Linked DNA regions of Sus scrofa. The protein of the gene in region 3 interacts with the protein of the main gene of each other region in a pairwise test. Links are inferred from orthologs where the notes say so. Each region holds a gene or a part of one and is shown on either strand. Other genes may lie near its edges. The genes, in order: melanoma-associated antigen B4-like, COPS4, USHBP1, TXLNA, CCHCR1, BFSP2 and CEP68.

Region 1 (3,932 bases), on a different chromosome or scaffold from region 3:
TTTCCTTTTTGAAATCTTATTGATCCCTCAAGGTCTAATTCATCCTCAGACATCCTCAGTGATTTCTCTCCTAATAAACTCAACCAAATATGCTCTAATCCTATACACACTTGTACCATTTTTTTTCAAAAATTTCTCTGAAGGGGGAGTTCCCACTGTGGCTCAGCAGGTTAATAAACTGATTAGTATCCATGAGGATGCAGGTTCAATCCCTGGCCTTGCTCAGTGGGTTAAGGATCCAGCATTGCCATAAGCTGTGGTGTAGGTTACACATGCAGTTTTGATCTGGAGTGGCTGTGGCTGTGGCATAGACCAGCAGCTTCAACCCCTAGCCTGAGAACTTCCATATGCCATGGGTGCAGCCCTAAAAAGACAAAAAAAAATTTCTATGAAGGAATTTATCATGTTTCAACTTATATTTTATTCAATCACATGCATACTTTCTCCGTTCCTTTTGATTACAATTTTTCTAAGGCTAAGGACTATGTTTTAGTTATGAATCTTCAAAAGCACCTGGAACATAGCGGATGCTTTAAAAATGTTTTTCTACTGGAGTTCCCGTTGTGGCGCAGTGGTTAACGAATCTGTCTAGGAACCATGAGGTTGCAGGTTCGATCCCTGCCCTTGCTCAGTGGATTAAGGATCCGGCATTCCCTCCCATGAGCTGTGGTGTAGGTCACAGATGTTGCTCGGATCCCGCACTGCTGTGGCTCTGGCGTAGGCCAGCGGTTGCTGTGGCTCTGGAGTAGGCCAGTGGCTACAGCTCCAATTGGACCTCTAGCCTGGGAACCTCCATACGTCACGGGAACAGCCCTAGAAAAGGCAAAAAAAAAGACAAAAAAAAGAAAATGTTTTTCTACTGGCACTGCTGGCATAACTCTATCATTTTAAATTATTTAATCCATGGATTCAACAGCACATAACTGGTTACCTAAGTTAGCTATAGTCTGATTGATTTATGTAACTAAATAATATGTATTGATTTTAAAACACCAATGACACATATTTAATAATTCATAAAATATGATTTCTTGCATGCTAATTTAAGTTCTGTTTTCCAAGTAAGAAAGTTGTGTAATAATTGTAATATGACTATAGAGTGGCTGCATCATTACTCTAATCATAAGAATCTTTAAGAAATGCAGATTTACTTTTCCAGATTACTGAGAGTTACAGGTAATATGCTATATATGTGTTTAATTTTAAAAACTTAAAGAGAGATACATTATCTAAAATGAGAGAGAATCATGAAAGAAAAAAAAATATTTTCTCATTTGTAAGAACTTGGACTCCTTAAGGCATCTGATAAATATAAAAATGATACTTTCAAAAACTGTAAGAAGATGAAGATTCCTGATTGCTGAAGGTTTTACTTTATTCAAACATGTAGCACCAGATCATGTAAGGAGAATCTTATTCTGCTTAAAGCCTGAGCGATTTGATTTGCTGCTTTCTGTCAGTGTAGAAGTTGACATTTTCTACTCACACAGATATATTTTTCCAACATTGTAAAACTGTTCAGAAAATGAGCTATGCTTGTAAAATCCTTCTTCCGTCTTATCACTAGGTGATTTTTGGCAATTAACCCCATCTTTTAATGCTAAATCAACCTAAAATGCCAAAAATACAATGAATACTTGTACATATGTCTTTCTAATCAGATATAGGAGTACTTATATCCACTAAGAACTATTCATCCAGAAAATGATTACAATGATTTAAGTGGGTATATTATAAAATTTCAATTGTACTTAAGAACTGCATAATGTTTGAAGCTGCTCTGAGAACTTGTATCCTACAAACTGGTAAAATAACATTGATCTGAGCTGCCTACATGTTCTTTTGTTCACCTTTTAAAACTTATAACAGGGAACCCATTTTCTTTTTTAAGGCTGACACAGTTTATGCTTCATCTTTTGACCTTCATTGAAGAAAGTTTGTTTTCTGTATCATATAATGACATTTGTATACCCCAGCTTCTATTGTGCTATTTGAGGATACTTCATTCAACAAAGCTTTACTGCTGTCAGTCTTGCCTTGTCTTGTCAGAAACACATGACATATTAGAATTTAAAAAAATTCATAGAGGGTTGATAAAGTTACTAAGTACAAACTATTAATTTAGGTGTAGGTGGAACCACAAGATATAGGGCAAGAACCTGAGGCTAGTAACAGTGGAGTTTGTCACCATCCCTAGGTCCTAAGAAACAAGGGAGAAGTTATTGGAACTCAGAACATGACAAAATTATGTAGAGTAGGCTAACTCAAGAATATAATTTGAGAAACAGAGCCAGCCCAAGGCAATGGTGCAGGAAAGGATTGTGGAGAATAAATACCCTATTCTCTTTCTCCTTTCTCCCTTCAGTCTCCCAGAGCTCCCTGTAGGTTAAACCCAACCAGAAGACAGAAGGTACAGGAACCCTGCCAATGTGGCCTACAGAGACATCAGTCAAGTAACAGGGAAGGAAAGAGCACATACCTAGAGAGGAAAACAGCAGATATCCAACAGAGCTCCTATGCTATATACACAGTGAACACCACACCCCCTGACCTTTAATGTTCCTTATAGGCACAGCCTCAATGAAATAAGTCAGTATAATAATGGGTAGATTAATTCCACCCTTTTCAATACTTGCCTCAATGAACTGGCATCATTTTGTAGTGTTTAATAATTCTCACCTGTGTTGCCGGGTGCTGCTTAATTACGGGAGAGTTTCTATTGAGGATTTTTAGCCATCTTTTGAGTCCATAGCTGTTGCAGAACTTTGGCTACCATGTTAGTTTTGGATTACGATTATTTCTTAAAGTGGAAAAAAAAAAGTGAGGCACAGTTAAATCTTGATTTCCTAGTCAAAGTCAACAACACAGCCTAGGAACTAAAATTTTTAGCACCCATCATTTCAACTCTCTCACCTATATTTGCTCTATGTAAATTAACACCCACAAAACTGAATAGAAGATTAGCACTGAACTCTTGCAGACAGGTGGAGAAGAATTATGACATCCGGCAATCTGTGAAATATTCTTGTATTTTTAACTGTGTATTCTTGTGTTTTGGGCTGTGTATGGGGCCTTTCCTGAATTGCTTTCCTTCCCTCCGTTGCAGCAATCTCCTTACAACCTTTTCCCTTTGGTCAGAAAAGGGGGGGAAGTGCCAACATAATTAGTATGCCAGAGTCAGTAATACTCCGCTGCCAAATGGCTTCTTGATTCAAATTAATGAAAACATGGCTAGCTGTGTCAACAATGGGGTCCTCAGCACCAAGAGGCCACAGCTCATGTCATGAAGAAGACGGCCCAATTCCACTTCCAAGATTGTGTCACTGAAGAACCTTTCCTAAGATATGGACCGGGTTTGCTTTCTGATGTGCTTCAGTTTCCTTGGGGGTGAGGGGCATGGAGTCTTTTGTGATCACTCTATTATAAAACATTCTTCACACACAGAGGAGATGCACTTGAGCTACTTCCCCCAAGTCAACACAGCTCACCCTAATGAAACACTGAGTATGCGCCAAGTTTTGTGCTAGGTGCTAGTGATAAGATGAATGTCACCCTGCTGACAAGGAGACCAATGCATAAAGAGACAAACACACACAAATGATTGGTCCTTGTGGAGCTCAGAAGAGGGAAAATAGAGTCTTTATTGGAGAGATAAAAGCTGTTTGGGGCTGGATATTAAAGAACGGATGAATATGGCATTCACAGATGGAAAAGTGAGAAGAGGAACTTCCAAGCAGAAGTGATGACTAGTGCAAATTGTGCAATTATTTGCAGTGAGCACAGGACAAGTCATAAAACCAGTAACTTCAGCAGGTAATGAATTACCATAAGTATGTGTTGATATATTGGGAACAGAAATTATTTACCATTTTCTATAAAGTCTCAGTGTCTAGCACAGGACATGATACAGAGTAGGGATTTCATAAATGTTG
Region 2 (3,500 bases), on a different chromosome or scaffold from region 3:
TTCGGGGAGTTCCTATTGTGGCGCACCAGAAACAAATCTGAGTAGTAACCATGAGGTTTTGGGTTCGATCCCTGGCCTCACTCAGGGGGTTAAGGATCTGGCGTTGCCATGAGCTGTGGTGTAGGTTGCAGATGCGGCTTGGATCCTGCCTTGCTGTGACTGTGGTGTAAGTCGGCAGCTGTAGCTTCGATTCAACCCCTACCATGGGAACCTCCATATGCCATAGGTGTGGCCCAAAAAAGCAAAAAAAAAAAAAAATGTTTGGCACACTGTTTTGTAAAAATGAAACAATGATTATCACCTTTAAAAATGTAACGGCGTCTCTAAAAATAATTGCTGCTATCTCAAGGTCAAAAATCACCACTCTAATGGCCAACATTCTATAATAACCGTAAGTGGAATATAACCTTAACAATTATGAATCACTGTTTTACACCTAAACTTATATATATATAATATTGTACATCCACTATGCCTCAATTTAAAAAGAAAACACATCCTAAACAGATTCCTAAAAACAAAGCAAAACAAAAGTCAGTGCTCTAGGTTTTACCTGCTCCTCAAATGAAATGACTCTAGGCTGGATCTTTTCCAAGGTGAAATGATAGATTTCTTTGGCTGTGCTATCAGGCAGGTTAGGGAGATGTGTGCAGAAATCAGTCAGCAACTGGCGAGAGATCACGAGGCTAACGTTCTCATTTACCACTTGTTAAAAAAAATAAGGGATAAGAAAACATGAGTAATTTATGTGTTTCCATTAAGCAATCCATCTTTACTAAAATTAATACTAAAAATCATATGTATTAGTGAACCTCTCAAAGCATTGTTTAGGGATCTCCACACTCCACACACTCTTATATTACAGAACCAGTTTTCCTTATGCTGAATTATCTGATTACATAACTACAGCAAAACAGTAAAAATACCACAACTTTTCTAAGAAACAGAAATGGCTGGGGAAAAGTTTCAACAGTTGAGAATTTTATATCATTCCTTTCTCTTCTTTATTTCTCTATAAAGTGAAGAAACACTATTACTTTTTTTTTTTTTTTTTGCTTTTTAGGGCCGCACCTGCAGCATATGGAGGTTCCCAGGCTAGGGATCTAATCGGAGCTGTAGCCGCCGACCTACACCACAGCCACAGCAACTCTGGATCCTTAACCCACTGAGCAAAGCCAGGGATCGAACCCACAACCTCACGCTTCCTAGTCGGATTCGTTTCCTCTGTGCCACAATGGGAACTCCGAAACACTGTTACTTTTGTCTCTTTTTTCATTAAAGTATCATTGATTACAATGTTGCACCAATTTCTGCTGGACAGCAGAGTGCCTGGGTTCTACACAGACATTCGTGCTTTTTTACATTCTGCTCCATCATGGTCTGTCCCAGGAGACTGGAAACAGTTCCCTGTGCTGCACAGTAGCACGTTCTTGTTTTTCCTTTCTAAAGGACATCGCTCCGCATCCTCTAACCCCAACTCTTAGTACATCTCTCTCCCTCCCCCTCCCCACTGGCAACCACGAGTCTGTTTCTGTTTCGTAGATAGGTTCGTTTGTGCCACATTTTAGATTCCACCTGTGAGTGATATGGTGTGGTGTTTGCTGTTCTCTTTCTGACTTACTCCACTTATAATAATCCTCCCGTTGCATCCATGTTACTGCGAAAGGCATTGGTTTTTTTTTTTGGTTTTTTTTGTTTTAAAGGCTGCAGCTGAGGCCTATGGAGGTGCCCAGGCTAGGGGGTGAATCAGAGCTGTAGCCTCAGGCCTGCGCCACAGTCACAGCAACCCCAGATTCAAGCCACAGCTGTGACCTTCGCTGCAGCTCGAGGCAACACCAGATCCTTAACCCACGGAGCAAGGCTAGGGATTGAACTTGCATTTTCTTGGATCCTAGTTGAATTCTTAACCCACTGGGCCACAGTGGGAACTCCCATATGGTAATTCTCTTTAGTTTTTGGAGGAACCTCCCACCCACAGCATAGGCTGTTTTTTTTCTCCACACCCTCTCTAGCATTTGTTATTTGTATACTTTTTTTTTTTTTTTTTTTTTTTTTTTTTTTAACAAATTTTTATTTTTATTTATTTATTTATTTTTTTTGTCTTTTGTTGTTGTTGTTGCTATTTCTTGGGCCGCTCCCACGGCATATGGAGGTTCCCAGGCTAGGGGTTGAATCGGAGCTGTAGCCACCGGCCTACACCAGAGGCACAGCAACGCAGGATCCGAGCCGCGTCTGCAACCTACACCACAGCTCACGGCAACGCCGGATCGTTAACCCACTGAGCAAGGGCAGGGACCGAACCCGCAACCTCATGGTTCCTAGTCGGATTCGTTAACCACTGCGCCACGACGGGAACTCCCTGTTATTTGTATACTTTTTAATGATGGCCATTCTGACCAGTCTGAGGTGGGACCTCATTATAGTTCTAAGCTGCATTTCTCTAATAATTAGTGATGTTGAGTAGAAAAACCTATAGTTTCATTTGTGTTCTCATATCCCACTTCACTACAAAAATGAATAGAAAGCGAAATAATTTTCATGATGTTTAAATAGAGCAAGTAGTGACAGTTACTGCCACTTGTACTTTCCCCAAAAAAAGAAAAAATAAGATCTTTGATCAGCACTAGATGTATAGACATATTTCACGATACTGTTTATAAACATTTATGAGGTATGATTACATGTGATGAAGGATGAAGACTCTGGAGCCACACCACTTCCAAACACTCCTGATTATACGCCCTCCAACAAAAAACTTAACCTCTCTGTGCTTCTCTTTCCTCTTCTGTGAAATGTGGATAAGGCTGTCGTGAAGCTTAAGTGCAGTATTTATATAAAGTACTTTAAATAATACCTGGCACATGGCACTTAACACATTCCCGCTGCGTCATGATGGGAACTCCAGAAAACAGTTTCATTAAAAGTGCCGTAGACGCCTATAACTATTAGAAAGAAACCACTATAGGAGTTCCTGTCGTGGCTCAGTGGTTAACAAATCTGACCAGGAACCACGAGGTTGCGGGTTCGGTCCCTGGCCTCGCTCAGTGGGTTAAGGATCCGGCGCTGCTGTGAGCGGTGGTATAGGTCGCAGACAGGGCTCCAATCTGGCGTTGCTGTGGCTGTGGCGTAGGCTGGTGGCTACAGCTCCGATTAGACCCCTAGCCTGGGAACCTCCATATGCCGCGGGTGCAGCTCTAGAAAAGACAAAAAAAGAAAAAGAAAAAAGAAAGAAAGAAATTAGTATACAAACTAGCCTTCTCAGGGAAGTATAAGTAAAAGAAGAATTATAAATCAGAAAATCTAGTTTCTAGTCTGGGCTCTACCACTGACTAGCTGAATGTCCTTGGGAAAAAAGGTCACTTAATCCTGAGACACATTTTAAAATCTATTATACAGGGCTATCTACAGCTGCATTTTCAGTAGAGGGTTATGAAAAGAAGCTGTGTGATACATAATGTATGTGAAAGCACACTATCAAGTAGCATTAGTATTGTGAACTC
Region 3 (3,500 bases):
AGGCAGGCTCTGTGGGAGGTAGAAGGGAGGGTAGCGACATTAGCATAGCCTGAGTGTGGGCTCAGCCCAAGCTGGACACTGAAATCACCCAGAATGTTGTGGCCACGTGGCCACAGCCCTCGCCTTCAGAGCCCCCACTCTGGTTAGGTACCTCCATAAGGGTACAGGTACTCCCTAACAAGGGAAAAAAATTACAGGGGATCTCCTTTTTAGGCAATCCAGGAGAACTTCCTGGAGGAGGTGATGTCTGAGTTCAGGCCTGTAGGAGGTTGAGAATTTAATTAGATAAGGAGGGAAGTGACTGGTGTTCCCAGCAGGGTCACAGCATTTCTAAAGGCTTGGAGGTAGGAGAGGTGATTCAAAGGAAGGTTCCGGAAGCCACTAAGGCTTTAAGCAGAGAACAGGCATGATTAGACAGTAAGGGGCAAAAAGGAAAGCCTCAGAGAGGAAGCTGGAGCCAAAACTTCGGAAGAAATGAAGCATAGGCTGGGACCGTTGGAATGGAGAAGGGGAAGTATGAATAAGACTGGGGGTGGGAAGGAGGAGGCACAGGTTTGAGTGGAAGACACTAAATCCCTTGGGGCTTATTGGGCTCAATAAATACCCTCAAAGAAAGAAACCCCAAAGTAGAAGTGGGAATTTTGAAATGTAGCTTAACCATTAGCTCTTTTTGTGTGTGAAGAAATGGAAACTGAGAGGTTCCCGTCATGGCTCAGCGATAATGAAACCAACTAGTATCCATGAGGACACGGGTTGGATCCCTGGTCTTGCTCAGTGGGTTAAGAATCCAGGGTTTCCATGAGCTCTGGTGTAGGTCACAGATGCAGCTCAGATCCTGTGCTGTGGCTGTGGCCTAGGCCGGCAGCTGCAGCTCCAATTCTACCTCTAGCCTGGGAACTTCCATATGCTGCCTGTGCAGCCCTAAAAAGCAAAAAAAGAAAAGAAATGGAAACTGAGACTCAAAGGGGGCTATGATTCTTTTTTTTTTTTTTTTGTCTGCACCCACAGCATTCGGAAGTTCCCAGGCCAGGGATTGAACCCACACCACAGCAGTGACCTGAGCCACAGAGGGGATAACACTGGCTCCTTAACCTGCTGAGTAACCAGGGAACTCCCCAAAGGGGGCAATGATTAACCGGAACCACACAGTCACTAGTATACAGCTATTCCTACCAGGTCCAGGCACGGCCAACTCACCTGGGACCACTCCTCCTCTCCGCTGGTCGCGCCTCCACTGCTGTCTTCACCGCTGCTGTTGGCCTCACCCGTCTGGAGCTGTGCCCGCTCCCAGCGCAGCTGCTCCAGCAGGAGTACATGGGCTGGGACCTGTGCTCGGAGGGCAGCCTCTCGCAGCTCCAGAGCCCGCTTCTCCCGTCGCACCAGCTGTAGCCTCAGCGTCAGGTCAGCCAGGGTCTCCTGGCAGACCAGGGAAAGGGGAGAGAATTTTCACCTCTAGGGTCAACTGCTGGGGAAACTGAACTCCAGGGGGCACCCACTGAGGGCTGGTCAGGCAGGAACACAAACCGTCCCTGTGATCTTGTCTTTTTTCTTTTCTTTTTTTTTTTTTTTTTGGTCTTTTTGTTATCTCTCTGGGCTGCTCCCGCGGCATATGGAGGTTCCCAGGCCAGGGGTCGAATCGGAGCTGTAGCTGCCAGCCTACGCCAGAGCCACAGCAACGCGGGATCCAAGCTGCGTCTGCAACCTACACCACAGCTCATGGCAACGCCAGATCGTTAACCCACTGAGCAAGGGTAGGGACCGAACCCCACAGCCTCATGGTTCCTAGTCGGATTTGTTAACCACTGCGCCACGACGGGAACTCCTTCTTTTCTTTTTTTAAGGCCCGTACCTGTGGCATACGGAAGCTCCCAGGCTAGGGGTCCAATTAGAGCTGCAGCTGCTGGCTTAGATCACAGCCACAGCAACTGGGGATCTGAGCCACGTCTGTGAACTACACTGCAGCTCACAGCAATGCGGGATCCCTAACCCACTGAGCCAGGCCAAGGATCGAACCCGCATCCTCATGGATATTAGTCAGGTTCGTTACCGCTGAGCCATGAAGGGAACTCTCCCTTCATGATCTTGCATGATGGGAAATATCATCTTCCCATTAAAAACAACAGCTTGTGAAGTTCCCGTTGTGGCTCAGTGGTTAATGAATCCGACTAGGAACCATGAGGTTGCAGGTTCCATCCACGCCCCTGCTCAGTGGGTTAAGGATCCGGTGTTGCCATGAGCTGTGGTGTAGGTCACAGATGCAACTCGTATCCCACATTGCTATGGCTCTGGTGTAAGCTGGTGGCTACAGCTCCGATTGGACCCCTGGCCTGGGAATCTCCATATGCCACGGGTTCAGCTCTAAAAAGACAAAAAGACAAAAACAAACGAACAAACAAAAAAACACAACAGCTTGTAGGGAGTTCCCTTTGTGGCGAAGCAGAAATGAATCTGACTAGTATCCATGAGGATGCAGTTTGATCCCTGGCCTCGATCAGTAGGTTAGGGATCTGGCGTTGCTATGAGCTGTGGCGTGGGTGGCAGATGAGGCTCAGATCTGCCATTGCTGTGGCTGTGGCATAAGCTGGCAGCTGCAGTTCCCATCCTACCCCCAGCCTGGGAACTTCCATATGCCATGGGTGCAGCCTTAAAAAGCAAACGCACAAACAAAAAACAGCTTGTAGAAATGCCAGTTCATAGAGAGCAAGTATCCTAAACAAGGTCAAGTAGCAGCTCAGTGGAAGTGTCCGGAGTTTCTCCAAATTCAAAACCTCAGCTCTTTCATGCCAGGCTACAAACCTCAGATTATGGCCCCTTCCTCTTTCTTTTCCATAGGAGGGGCATTTTGGGAAGCTAGATTTGGAATCTTATGAGAAACTGAAAGCCGGAGGACAAATTCCTATTCATCCCTCAAAACCCCAGCTCCAAATCTCCTCCCTCCAGGAAGCTAGTCCCCAGTCCAGCAAAACGCTCCCTTTCTACTGGGTCCCCCAATCACATTTCTCTCTGACTCAGCAAAGAGTTTGGTTCCACCAGGAAAGACTGATACAGTGACCACAGCCCTTGTGTACCCGTGTGGCTGCCAGTTCCTGCTGGATCTGCGTCTTCTCTAGCCGGGGCAGCGACGGGCCAGGCTGTGTCCCCAGAATGGCCTGCACCATGGCTTCAGCATGGGGCACAGTGGACGTGGGTGCCGAGGTAGGGCCAGGTTCTGGAGGAATCTTCACAAGAGCACGGCGTTCCTGGAGACGCTGAACATAGCCTTGGAGCTGGGTAGCCACCTCCTGCAGTGTGGGCTTATCCACACTGTTGCCCTCGCGGCTACAGGAAACAGAAGAGGATCCTATGTCAGCACTGGTGGGCTCCATTGTCTTCCATCCTATTGACTGTGATGGGTCCTTCCTATGCCATCTGTGGTGGGCATGGTCAAACCAATATGGTGGGTACCACACTGTAAACCTCAATGATCAAAATCATCTATCAGTGATGAATGATGGATGAAC
Region 4 (2,904 bases), on a different chromosome or scaffold from region 3:
GGGCAGGGGAAGCGGTGCCTGAGGAGCTCCCTACCAGCACATCATCCTGCACAGAACATTCTCCAGGTCCCTTGTCCTAGGCAGGAAAGCAGTTCCATTGCCAGCTGAGTACCCTGTCAACGCTCTGCCCGGTGACCCCTCTTCCGGGTCAAGAGAAGCAAGGGAGCTCCTCCCAGGGGGGCTAGGAGAGCCCGAGCTGCCCAAGTCCCGCTAACAGGAGAAAGACAGTCAGGGCCTGGGCATTTCATCTGTCACGAGTCCTGAAAGGCAGGGAGGAAGGGGCTGAGTCTCAAATAGGGCAGGGAAATGCTCAAGTCACTTGTCCTGCCAGCTCACTGTGACAGCAGCCACAGATGACAGCTCTAAGACTCTTCAGCTCACGGAAGAGCCACTGACTTCATCTGTACACATCCCCACCTCCAGTGCAAGCCCAGTTTACACTTACAGATATAAATGTATGAGGCCTTGCACATATGCCATACGTATGCAAAACTGACCCATAAAATCCCAAACTGCAGAGTCTGATGCCAGCCAGGTCAGAGCACCCTGGGTCTCAGCGGTGGGAGCCTTGCATGGGCCAGGCCTGGCTGGGCTGCTCGCTCCCTTCCCTGTGCAGGCTCCCTAGGCGGTGGCGGGGGCGGGCTCCTGGGGCCCCATTTGGCCTGATGCTTCCATGCTTGATGCTCCAGGGCAGCAAGGTGCTTCGGTGGCCCTTGGGGAGCTAGGTGCTAGGACCCTGGGCCCCTCACCACCCTGTTCCTTGGAGGCATTGGCAGCCTCTTGCCTTTGCTCAGAGCCCCCATCAGTGAGGGGGCCCTGGCCTCCAGCACTCAGGTCCTGCACCCTCTTGTTCAGGTCATTGCGCTCTGACTGCAGCGCCCGGCACAGCTTCTCCAGCCGCTGGATTTTTACCTGCAGCCCCTCCAGCTCTTTGTCCCGCAGTGTTTTCTAGGGAGAGAAAGGGGAGCCTTCAGTGCCATGCCATCAACCTCCCACACAACACTGCCATGTGGCAGAAAACATTCACACACTAACAATGCTGGGGACAGGAGTTCCCGTTGTGGCTCAGTGGAAACAAATCCGACTAGGAACGATGAGGTTGCGGGTTCGATCCCTGGCCTCGCTCAGTGGGTTAAGGATCCGGCATTGCTGTGAGCTGTGGTATAGGTTGTAGACATGGCTCGGATCCTGCGTTGCTGTGGCTCTGGCATAGGCTGGCAGCAATAGCTCCAATTAGACCTCTAGCCTGGGAACCTCCATATGCCGCGAGTGCGGCCCTATAAGGACAAAAGACGAAAACAAACAAACAAAAAACAATGCTGGGGACAGACCAGAGTCAAAAACCGGCCCCTTTCCAGGTTTACGCTGAGACTCTGACTGTCGGTCAGGCGCAGTGTGGTGTTGAGAACGGGCAAAGCTTGGAGGTGACGGAGTCCTGCATTTATCCACCTGATGGCCTTGACAAAGTACTTGGCTTTTGAGCCTATCTCTGTATCTGTTAAAATGGACCACTAACAGTTCTCAAGAGAGCTCTATGAACCAGCACATCTAAACACTCAGCAGGGCCCAGCAATCAGTTACTTTCTTTTCCTACATCTCAAGCCACACAATTAAATGATCTGGGTGGCTCTGCACACAGGCTCCACAATCACTGCCCCTTGTTTTCTGCTCCTTTCTTCCATCCCCTCCCACTACAGACCTACTGCTAAGCTCACCACCTCCCCTGGAGAGACAGCCAATGGTGCTTTTGGACTTGGACAGACGTGCACATGGGTCCTAGCTCCACGTGGTGCCAGCTGCCTCACTTCTCGGTAGAATGTACAGGACATACACCCCAGCCCCAGAGGCAGGTCGCACTCAGCCCACCTCCTCTGCCATCTCAAGCAGGGCCTTGTTGCTGCTCTCCCACCGGGACCGGTACATGGTGGTTTCTTTCTCCAGCTTCTTGATCTTCTTAGTCATCTGGGTTATGGAACATACAGAATGAAATGGTCAGGGGACTCGGCTGTCTGTGCATCTCCAAGGTGGGGAACAGACCCAAGGGCATGAGGTCCTACAGGGCGTGGTCAGTGCCTTCTGTGCCACCCTAGGAGGTCTCAAGTGCCCACCACCAATACAGGCAATGACAAGACCGCCTCCTCTCCAGGACAACCTAAAGGGCACACGTACCAGCCATGTGTCTGTCCCTAACAGGGTGGAAAGGCTGTGAGCCTCCTCACAGCCCACTTACACCCTCCTCATGGTAGCAACCACACCCCCACTGTAAACAGTTCGCCGTGAAGCACCGCGGGGATGGGGGCTTTCTGAAGGCAGGCGCAGTGTTTTTTTTTTTTGCGGGGGGTGGGGGGCAAACTTGGGGCATGTGGAAGATCCCAGGCTGGGGAATCATCTGCACCACAGCAGGCACTGGAGCTGCTGGAGTGACAACAACGGATCCTTAACCCCCTGTGCCACAAGGAACCCCCGCCCAATGTTTAATTCTGAATGAAGCCACTTGTGCTCCTGCAGCCACACCCAATCTGGAATACAGTTACCTTTTCCATCTCCTGTTTGAATGTGGTGAACACCTCACTGCTTTTGGAAAGAGTGTTCTGGAACTCTTCAAACTTCTCGGTGTATAGGGCAAGCTGGGTGAGAAAGAAACGCACAAGTAAGACAGGGCTTCTCTGGAGGGCACTTCTGGTCAACACACTCAGACCCATCCTTGACCTCACGCCCCAACAATTCTAATGAGATACCGGTTTCCTTTAAAACAAAAACTATATATTTGGAAAGATATAATCTAAAATGCTAAGCCTAAAAAGTAGGATTTGGGGTGACTTGTTTTATGCCTTTACGTTTTCCAACTTTTCTTTGGGAAAGAAGTCTAATTTATATAATTTTTTTTTTGGGTATTTTCTAGGG
Region 5 (2,345 bases), on a different chromosome or scaffold from region 3:
CACAGCCACGGGGGATCCGAGCCGAGTCTGTGACCTACACCACAGCTCACGGCAATGCTGGATCCTTAACCCACTGAGCAAGGCCAGGGATCAAACCTGTGTCCTCATGGATACTAGTCAGATTCGTTTCCACTGAGCCACAACAGGAACTCCTGCATGATTCTTTTAACTTGGCTAGGTGTTTGAAATTTTTGCCAATTAAAAATCGGGGTGATCATTGGTGTGGGATGTCAGGTGTGAGATGTCACGATGCCTTTGTGAAGGAGAGTGACGGGTGGGGAGCGGCCCCAGGGGCTCCAGGGCTGGGGGCTTGCGTGCTGTTGCTTGATTTGGGAGCCGGGTAGATGGGTGTTTACCACCTGAGAATTCATCTTCCCTGGTAACTTCATTACTTGCACACTTCCAAAAAAGCTTTAAAGTTTCAAAAATAACCTCATGCCTCAACACTTCCTTCTTCCCAGAAGCCCACCTCCACCCCGGCCCATCTCACCGGCCTTGGTGTGTTCCCTCCGAGCCTCATTCAGTCTCCTTTCTGACTCTGAGAGCTGTTCCCGCAGCCGAGTTTCCACTTCGGCCACCTTCTCCTGCAGCGCTGGGGTGGAGGTGCAGATGGGGTGTGGGGGGGTGGGGCTTGCTTCACAGTCCCCACCGCCCCCTCGGGTCTGCCATGCCCCTCTGCACACCTTGCCCATAGATCTCCTGCTGCTGGGTCAGCTCCTGCCGGAGACCAGCAGCCTCCGCCGTGCTCTCTTGCTGGCCCTGGCGAGCTGCCTCCAGCTGCAGCCCCAAACTGGCCAGGGACTCCTGTGTGTGCTGCAGCTCCTGCTCCAGCTGCTGGGCCACCTCGCTCAGCTTCTGCCGCTCCACCTCCCCTGGGAAGAGATGGCACCCTCTAAGGCTTCTCCACCCCTAGACCCAGCTCTTCCTCTTCATCCCCAAGGCTCAGACGCTGGCCCCTGCTCCAGCTCAGTAACCCGAGGACCGGGCATACCTTGTTCCCGGGCCCGGCCCACCTCCTGCTGGATGATGTGGGCGCTCAGCTGCAGTTCTGCGTCCAGGCGGTTCCGCTCTTCCCGCAGCTGCTCCAACTCGAGGTTCATCTCGGTGGCCGGTGGGGGTGGGGGGCAGCTGAGACAGAGAAGAGAAACTGCTGGGTGGGGGAATCACCCAGCTGCCTGACCCGGAAGGCCCACCCTTCCTCCAGCCTCGCTTTTTTGGTCCAGGGACTGACATCTGAAAAGCCCCACCCCCTCCCATCCACTCAAAGTGGCCCGAACGTCACCTCTCCTGGCGCAGCTGAGCAAGGGCCAGTTTTCGAGCCATCAAGCCTGGGGAGAAAAGGTAGAAGAGCAACAGAGAGATGCGTTTGCGAGGAAGAGGGGAGACGGGAGGAAGGGGAAAGAGGATGCGGGGCGGGGCGCATCTGGAGGCTGCTCTACCCACCCCGAATGGTGTGGACCTTTCGGACGGCATAGCTGAGGCGGGCGCTGAGGCTGGGCAGCCGGGCCGTGGCCCGCTCCACCTCGGCCATGGTGCTCTGGAGCCAGGCCTGAAAGCTGGAGAAGGCACAAGGTCACCGACCTTCAACCCCACGGCACATCCAAATAGACTCGACCCCCCTCCCCCCAGAACTGCTAAGCGCGTGGGGAAGGCAGGGAAGAGGGAATGGAGCAGGGGCAAGAGACGCTGAAGCTAAGGGGAGGGGCCCCACCTCTGGGCCCTGCCAGTTGTGAAAGAAGATCTGAGAGCTTACGCCCCTTGGTGATGGTCAGATAAAAATGATGCAGTTGCTCATAAGAAAAGCACAGCTATTGCTGGTCCTCAAACCTATGATAAGCTTCTCGTTTGGGTCCTCATAAAACAACAGTGAGGTTCATGGGGTTGCACCTTCACGGACTACCGTAAGGACTCTGTGACGATGATCTACCTGCAGGGGCTAAAACGAGTGCCCTACGGTGGACTAATTGCTAGTAATTTAGGCATTTTTACCTGCAGGCCCCCGGATGCATCTCCAGAGTGTGGGACTGTCCTGGCACCATAAGCTACATTCAGGGTATATGAACTTATGTGCATTCTTCTTTGGACCAAAGCCCACAGCCCAAGAAGGCATTAAATGACTTTACATCTTTTTAAGCGAACTGCAAAGCTTATTCTCACAATCTGCTTTTTCTTTTTTCTTTTTTGTCTTTTTAGGGCCGCACCCACGGCATATGGAAGTTCCCAGGCTAGGGGTCAAATTGGAGCTATAGCCGCCAGCCTACACCACAGCCACAGCAACGCAGGATCCGAGCCGAGTCTGTGACCTACACTACAGCTCATGGCAACTGTGTCAAGGTCAGATCCTT
Region 6 (3,500 bases), on a different chromosome or scaffold from region 3:
GCAGCCTAGCCTACTTGATTTCTGGAACTCTTAGGTAAACATGTTTTATGTCCTGGCTGCTCAAAGTGTGGTCTTTGGACCAGCAGTATAGGCATCACTTGAGAGTTTTATCTTAAGTGCAGAGTCTCAGGCCCCATCCCAGACCGGAAGCAGAATCTGCATTTTTAAAAAGATGCCCAGGTTTAGGGTCATTAAAGTTTCAGGAGCACTAATTAGGGTCTCACGTGCAGCTGAAAGCATTCCTAACAGATTCCATGTATGTACGATGTACGTGAAAACACACAGAGGTACTGTCTGTGGGTGTGTGAATGTATACAGATGCCCATACGTATATTTATACACACATATATATTATATATTTGTCTATAGATTCATGGATATATGTATATATGAACAGAATATCCTGGGAGGACACAGTGGGAGTGGGGGTGGGTGTTGGGAAGCCCGTGGGGTGATTTCTCTCTCTCTCTTTTTTTTGTCCTTTTTTTTTTTTTTTTTTTTTTTTTGTCTTTTGTCTTTTTGTCTTTTGTTGTTGTTGTTGTTGTTGCTATTTCTTGGGCCGCTCCCGAGGCATATGGAGGTTCCCAGGCTAGGGTCGAATCGGAGCTGTAGCCACCGGCCTATGCCAGAGGCACAGCAACGCAGGATCCGAGCCGCGTCTGCAATCTATACCACAGCTCACGGCAACACCGGATCGTTAACCCACTGAGCAAGGGCAGGGATCAAACCCGCAACCTCATGGTTCCTAGTCGGATTCGTTAACCACTGCACCAGGACGGGAACTCCTGTCCTTTTTTTTGCTTTTTAGGGCCACACTCGCGGCATATGGAAGTTCCCAGGCTAGGGGTCCAATCAGAGCTGCAGCCTCTGGCCCACACCACAACCACAGCAACACCAGATCCTTAACCCACTGAGCAGGCCAGGGATTGAACCCACATTCTCATGGATACTACTTGGATTGGTTTCTGCTGAGCTACCTACGGGAACTCCCGATTTCTCCTTTTTACCTTAGTTGCTTCTATAGTGTTTGAAAAAATGTTTAATTGAAACCCACGGGTGTGTCCTCCTTTCCTGACAAAAGCCAGGCAGAGACGCACCTGCTCTCCTCGCGGTCCAGCAGAGCGTGGTAGGCTGCCACGTCCCGCTGCAGCTGGCACTTATGCGCCAGAAGGTGCTCGCGGGCCTGTAGCTGCTGCTCGGCCTCAGAGCGCATCTCCCGGAGCTCCGCCTCCAGGCGGCTGACCACGGCGCCCAGGTTCTGCAGCTCAATGTCATGCCAGTGCTTGGCGTCGTGCAGGGTGTTCTCCAGGCCTCGTTTCTAGGAGAGAAGGAATGCGGTCCAGATCCCAAGCCGCCAGGCAGGGCCCTGGAAGAGGGAGGTGGGCGGAGCAGTGGGAGGGGCTGGCGTCTCTGGGGCTGTCCATGTCTCCCAGGACAATGACCTTAAGGGACTGAAAAGGTTCCTGGGGAGGTCGGAGTCTTGTTTAGTCTAATTTACTGATTCTTCCTGAGGGGGTGGGGGGGGGGGTGGGGAGAGAGTAGAGAAGGGATGAGGGGAGAGGGACAGGAATGGAGACTGTGATGAGACAGAATGATGAGAGAAAAGGAGAGGCAGATGAATGAGAAGAAAAATGAGAGAAATTCACACACACGCACAGGAGAGACAATTTGCAGGTGTTTCTTCAAAGTCTTGCTCCCAGAACTGCCTGGGGGCCTTTTTGCTCCTGACTGCTCACCCTGGAGGCCCCTTCCCTCCACGGTGACCCCACCCACCATGCAGTCAGAATGCTGGCCTGGCCGCGCTCTTCCCAGATTCCCACAGTCTAACGGAACATCTCTGGCTCCTACGTACCCAGCAAGGTTTTCTTCAGTGTTTAGGAGCGTATCTTGCTAACCCGTCCTCGCCTTGTTGCCCTGCATGCCCTCCTGAGCCTGTCTCTCTCTGAGCTGTGCTCCGGCCTGTGTCAAAGCCATATCTCTAGACCTGCTTCCCTGTCAATCATCACAGAGTCCTGCCTCTTGTATATTCTGAAACGTTTTCCTATTTGTGCCTCCCTCTTCTGCAGCCACCTCTCATCTCCATGGTAACCTCCATGGCCTCCTGGCTCATATCCCTGCCTGCAGTTCCTCTTCCTCTGCAGCCCCCACAGCAGCCACAGAGCTCTGTCTAAAGTCCAAAGCTGGGCTTGGAGCTCCTCCTCTTCCTCACCTGGCTGACTCCTACTTATCTGATGCCCAAGCTCAGGGGTCACTTCTCCTAGGAAGCCTTCTTTGATATCCTCTTGCCCCAGCCACCACCAAGCTGGGTTAGGAGCCCCTCCTCTGGGTTTCACTGCTGCCCAAGCATAGGCATACCCTTGAACTTGTCATAGTGGGCCGAGCTTCTCAGGGGCATGTCTCCTCTAGAAAACACTAAACTCTTTGAGGGCAGAAGCCTAGTCCCTATAACCCCAGTGACAAGACAGGGCCTGGGACAGAGTACGTGTGTGTGTGTGTGTGTGTGGTGTGTGTGTGTATTGCCCAGATGACAGCACTATATTATGGTTACATTTATTGACCCTGTCTCCCCATTAGACTGAAACCTTCTTATCTTCTCAATACTAAGCTCTGAAAACTGTAGGGCTGAGCAACATACACCTTTTTAAAAACTGTGTGCATCTGTCTTTCACATTTTTTTTTGGCTGTGCCAGTGGCATGCAGAAGTTCCGGGGCCAGGGATTGAACCCAAGCCACAGCAGTAATAAAGCAGAATCCTTAACCACTAGGCCACCAGGGAACTCCTCTTTAACAGTTTTTTAGCAGTTCTAATTATGATGCACCTATAATTTAGCATCTGGCTGTTCATATAACACATAAAAAACAAGTAAATATCTTTCTAAATTGGACTGAGTCAAATTTTGATGAAACAAGTTTCTGTACCCTTCCCCCCAGCAGGAGATTTTCCACACTCTTTTGACCACTGTGGCTGAAATGGGAGATTCTTGGTCATGATGTTATCTTGAATCATGGCTGCTGTTAAGCAGGGGTCGCCATACTATCTTACTGAAGTCTTTCTAATTCCGTAGGATGTGGGGACATTGAGTCAGATTCCCATCCTAAGTGTGTCTACTGGTGGCAAAATGTCATCAGTAGAAAGTAGATGTAGACCAGAGTCTGGTCTAGGGTTATTGTTTTGCTGGTGAGATCTGAAAACCCCTCCATGGCAGTGAGGATGCAGAAAGGGCCACCTGGATTTTGAGAATCATTTGTTCCAACCCCTCTGGGTCGTCTTCCTTTGTTTATCAGAAAGTTGCTTCATTTGAGTGGCAGTTGACATTGAATCTTTAACACCTGTGATTTGGAAAAACCTTTCATGGGATAATGTTTGCATCATCTGTCTATAGCTTTTGTCCCATGTTCATGATGATGTCTCCATGTGGCCTGGGGTTTTCCTCTGAAGACTTAGGACTCACTGCCAAAGGTGGGTTCATGGGAACCTCCATAAGAGATGCCCTGTCCCT
Region 7 (3,500 bases), on a different chromosome or scaffold from region 3:
TGAGAACTGTGAACAGGCAGGGAGGGTTTTGATGGGATGAGGAGCCACGGAAGGTTGTCAGCAGGACAGTCATTCCCCAGTGTGAGTGAATTAGGCCTCTGCAGTCCCCACTTGCGAGAGGCCTTTGCATTGGCTCTTCTGGTGTTTTCTTGCACTAGGACGTTTTCGTTTTTACTGGAGCAGAGTATGCCAAGCTCCTTGTCCCTTGTAATTATACCAGCATTTTGCTAAATACTGAGTGCCAGACGCTGTGCTGAAGCGTATCAGTTGGGGTTGTGTTGTTGTTTTCCATTTAATCACAGCCCTGTGAGATGGATCCTGTTATTACTCTTAGCTCACAGAGCTGTGAATTTGCCTTAGGCTACACAGGGAGTGGCAGCCTGGCTCCAGCCCCTGTGCACTGGTCCTGTGCTGCTGTGTCTGGAGGTGCAGGAGCCTGAGCTGGAAGAGCTCAATACCAGGAAACTTTTCTGGAGGCCACATGTAACAGTGGGCCTCTTACAAGCTACAGGTTCTTGCACCTTCATTTAAAAATTAATTCAAGGAGTTCCCATTGTGACTTAGCGAGTTAAGAAACTGACATAGTGTCCATGAGGATGCAAGTTCAATCCCTGGCTTCACTCAGTGGGTTAAGGATCTGGCAATGCTGTGAGCTGTGGGGTAGGTCAAAGACATGGCTCAGATCTGGCATTGCCGTGGCTGTGGTGTAGGCTGGCAGCTGCAGCTCCAATTCAACCCCTGGCCTGGGAACCTCCATATGCCTCAGGTGTGGCCCTTAAAAAAAAAAAAAAAAAAAAGTAATAACCTCTCAGTACTTTATCTGTAATAACATCCCACTTTGCCCTTCTCTCCAAAGGTGTCTAGAGTATTTTACTGCCCCAAGAAGAGGTATTTGGGTATTCTGTGGTCTCCAGCCTCATTAAGATTGCCACCCTGCCCCTCCTGATCCTCTGCTTGGAAAAACCAGGAACTTGGCTGTTTTGTGGAAATCACAGGGCCTGTCCAGCTAGGTGCACAGCTGTCCTCTCCAGAGCACACGACCCGCTTTGTCAGTCATTGGAGCCAGTCAGCGGAGCCTGAGCACAAACACTACCCGCGCCCCCACCCCCCTGCTTCTTCACAGCCCGCTTTCTTCCTCAGCCACAGGTAGAACCTTAGGGACAGGAAGTCAAATTAATTGCTTCAAAATGTGCCCATCTCAGTCTCCAGGCAAAGGCTTCCCCATGGCTACCGGGCAGGTGTTTTCACTACATTTTGACCCAGGTTCTTCCATGCATGAGTTGACAGTCCTGTCGCACATTGACCCTTCATTATACTGGCTCAAATGACTAGAACCTACTGACATTAAGCTGAACCAGGCCCCTGTATGCATGTATTCAATTAGAATATATTAAAGTCTCACTCGGAAAAATTTCACCACCATTCCCAGCTTTTATTTGACCCCAGTCAAATGTTCTAACGTTCTAAGTTTCTAAGTTAAAAAAATAAAGCTCCCCTGGGAGTTCCTGTTGTGGTGCAGAGAAAACAGATCCGACTAGCATCCATGAGATTCCATCCCTGGCCTTGCTCAGGGCGGTAAGAATCCAGCGTTGTGGTGAGCTGTGTAGGTCGCAGGCGTGGCCCGGATCCCGTGTGGCTGTGGTTGTGGTGTCGGCTGGCGGCTACAGCTCCAACTTGACCCCTAGGAACCTCCACATGCCGTGGGTGTGGCCCTAAAAAACAGAAGAAAAAAAAATAAAAGGGTCCTCTGAACTCCACTGACTGCACCCGGAGGACTGAGCAAAGGTCTGGCGAAGGCGCAGGGGAGAACCCAGCCATTTGCCTCACGTACAAAGTGAGGGGTGAGCTGCACTATGGTGGCATTCCTCAGCCTGCCCTGCTGCCTCTAAGCTCTCAGGATGGTACTTTGCCCTAAGGTCACTGCACTGTGTGGCTTCCCCAGAGGCTGATCTCAACACGGCCAGCCCATTCTTTCTTCCGCCCATCCGTCAGCACCCTCTGCAGATATGCAGCTTCCCCTTTCCCTTCCGCCACTAGCAGATGTTGCAGCTGTGGCAGGAAACTAGGGAGAGTGTGAACACAGCTGATAAAGGTGCAGGAAGCAAAAGCAGCCTTTATGTTTCACAAAGGAAATAAAAGTTTTTGAGGGAAAAAAAACAAGCCTCCTGTGTGTGATGCACCCTGAACGTAGCCCATCCCTTCCTCAGATGAACACTTGGCCTGTGGGGGACGGAATCTTGGCCTCACTAACCGTTTTGTCCTAGCCTGCTTCCAGGTCATTTTCTTTTGAAGTCCGTTCATTTAGGATTTGCAAAAAACGGTTGATGGGCCTTCCCATATTATATTACCAGACCACTCATACACTTGTGAAAAGACAGTCCCACAGCCTACAGAAGCTGATAGGACCTGATTAGAACCAGGTCCTAATTTTGACATGTTGCTTTGTTTCACTTCAGACTCCTGCCCCACAGGATTTGGGTGTGCACCCTGGGCCTTATCTCTAAAAGTCGGATCATACCAGGCACCAGATAACCATGTCTCTGTGCCTTTTTGTGAAGTATGTCCTTCCAAGTGGAGCCAGTGAACCTCTTTTCTCAGCTTTTTTTTTTTTTGGTCTTTTTTGTCTTTTTGCCATTTCTTGGGCCACTCCCACGGCATATGGAGGTTCCCAGGCTAGGGGTCTAATCGGAGCTGTAGCTGCCAGCCTACGCCAGAGCCACAGCAACGCAGGATCCGAGCCGCGTCTGCAACCTACACCACAGCTCATGGCAATTTTCTCAGCTTTAATCACAATTTACCGTAGATCCTCTAGTGCATTAGTGCCTAGGGAGTCACTGTTGAGGAAAAAAAGAAAAAAAAAAAGCAGACATTTTGAAACTATTGCCATGTTCCTGTGTTGTATAAAGTACTACATCCTCGTATGCTCTTTTAAAAGCATACTTACTGTTGTTTCTTGGGCCTGACTTCTGTAACCCTCGTGTGTTAGTGTTAAAGGACATCCTCGGGAGGATCTCCAGGCAGCCCAGCGAGCTGGAGAGCCACGCGGATCACCTGTACGACACCATCTTAGCCTCCCTGGACAGGCTGGCTGGCTGCACCCTCGTCCCTGACGGCACGCCCATGGCACACAGGAGCGCCAGTGTGAAGGGGATTAGCCTGGTAGGTAGAGCAACCCAAGAGAAGAAAAACTGTCCTCGGACCCCAGTGCTGGATAAGGTACAGAGCTCCTGCTCCAGCAGGTGGTGGATTCCTAGAAGTTTGTTGAGCTAAGAGCTACTGAAACAAATGAAAGGCTAGGAGAAGCCCCTGGACCTGAAAAAGAGAGATTCTGACATGGCCAGGAAGAAGATTGGGGGTCTTCCTGTGGTAACTACAGCTCAGTGTGGTGCTTTCCATCACTCAGCTTCACCCCTGAGCTTGCTGACGACTGGGGTGCTCTGCACTTCAATTTTCTGTGGCAGACCCATTGCCCGCAAGCATGACTGCAGAAGTCATCGATA

What was found.
Region 1: the proteins of USHBP1 (region 3) and melanoma-associated antigen B4-like interact in binary tests that used the Homo sapiens proteins (3 or more experiments, as listed by UniProt). The two-hybrid records come from large-scale screens. The link is inferred for Sus scrofa from reciprocal best matches to the Homo sapiens genes USHBP1 and MAGEB4.
Region 2: the proteins of USHBP1 (region 3) and COPS4 interact in binary tests that used the Homo sapiens proteins (3 or more experiments, as listed by UniProt). The two-hybrid records come from large-scale screens. The link is inferred for Sus scrofa from reciprocal best matches to the Homo sapiens genes USHBP1 and COPS4.
Region 4: the proteins of USHBP1 (region 3) and TXLNA interact in binary tests that used the Homo sapiens proteins (3 or more experiments, as listed by UniProt). The two-hybrid records come from large-scale screens. The link is inferred for Sus scrofa from reciprocal best matches to the Homo sapiens genes USHBP1 and TXLNA.
Region 5: the proteins of USHBP1 (region 3) and CCHCR1 interact in binary tests that used the Homo sapiens proteins (3 or more experiments, as listed by UniProt). The link is inferred for Sus scrofa from reciprocal best matches to the Homo sapiens genes USHBP1 and CCHCR1.
Region 6: the proteins of USHBP1 (region 3) and BFSP2 interact in binary tests that used the Homo sapiens proteins (3 or more experiments, as listed by UniProt). The two-hybrid records come from large-scale screens. The link is inferred for Sus scrofa from reciprocal best matches to the Homo sapiens genes USHBP1 and BFSP2.
Region 7: the proteins of USHBP1 (region 3) and CEP68 interact in binary tests that used the Homo sapiens proteins (3 or more experiments, as listed by UniProt). The two-hybrid records come from large-scale screens. The link is inferred for Sus scrofa from reciprocal best matches to the Homo sapiens genes USHBP1 and CEP68.

What each region holds. Positions count from the first base shown.
Region 1 is NC_010461.5:25,894,292-25,898,223, reverse strand, and holds the start of melanoma-associated antigen B4-like, read right to left. Parts: upstream 2,801-3,932; 5' UTR 2,680-2,800; intron 1-2,679.
Region 2 is NC_010450.4:135,300,845-135,304,344, forward strand, and holds part of COPS4 (COP9 signalosome complex subunit 4), read right to left. Parts: intron 706-3,500; coding exon 554-705; intron 1-553. UniProt on the Homo sapiens protein: Component of the COP9 signalosome complex (CSN), a complex involved in various cellular and developmental processes.
Region 3 is NC_010444.4:60,418,129-60,421,628, reverse strand, and holds part of USHBP1 (Usher syndrome type-1C protein-binding protein 1), read right to left. Parts: intron 3,319-3,500; coding exon 3,069-3,318; intron 1,417-3,068; coding exon 1,198-1,416; intron 10-1,197; coding exon 1-9.
Region 4 is NC_010448.4:88,670,051-88,672,954, reverse strand, and holds part of TXLNA (alpha-taxilin), read right to left. Parts: intron 2,628-2,904; coding exon 2,535-2,627; intron 1,963-2,534; coding exon 1,867-1,962; intron 949-1,866; coding exon 622-948; 3' UTR 1-621. UniProt on the Homo sapiens protein: May be involved in intracellular vesicle traffic and potentially in calcium-dependent exocytosis in neuroendocrine cells.
Region 5 is NC_010449.5:23,545,765-23,548,109, forward strand, and holds part of CCHCR1 (coiled-coil alpha-helical rod protein 1), read right to left. Parts: intron 1,557-2,345; coding exon 1,444-1,556; intron 1,329-1,443; coding exon 1,283-1,328; intron 1,129-1,282; coding exon 992-1,128; intron 873-991; coding exon 684-872; intron 593-683; coding exon 491-592; intron 1-490. UniProt on the Homo sapiens protein: May be a regulator of keratinocyte proliferation or differentiation.
Region 6 is NC_010455.5:74,634,378-74,637,877, reverse strand, and holds part of BFSP2 (phakinin), read right to left. Parts: intron 2,008-3,500; exon of another isoform or gene 1,853-2,007; intron 1,319-1,852; coding exon 1,098-1,318; intron 1-1,097.
Region 7 is NC_010445.4:76,873,674-76,877,173, reverse strand, and holds part of CEP68 (centrosomal protein of 68 kDa), read left to right. Parts: intron 1-2,986; coding exon 2,987-3,159; intron 3,160-3,500. UniProt on the Homo sapiens protein: Involved in maintenance of centrosome cohesion, probably as part of a linker structure which prevents centrosome splitting. Required for localization of CDK5RAP2 to the centrosome during interphase. Contributes to CROCC/rootletin filament formation.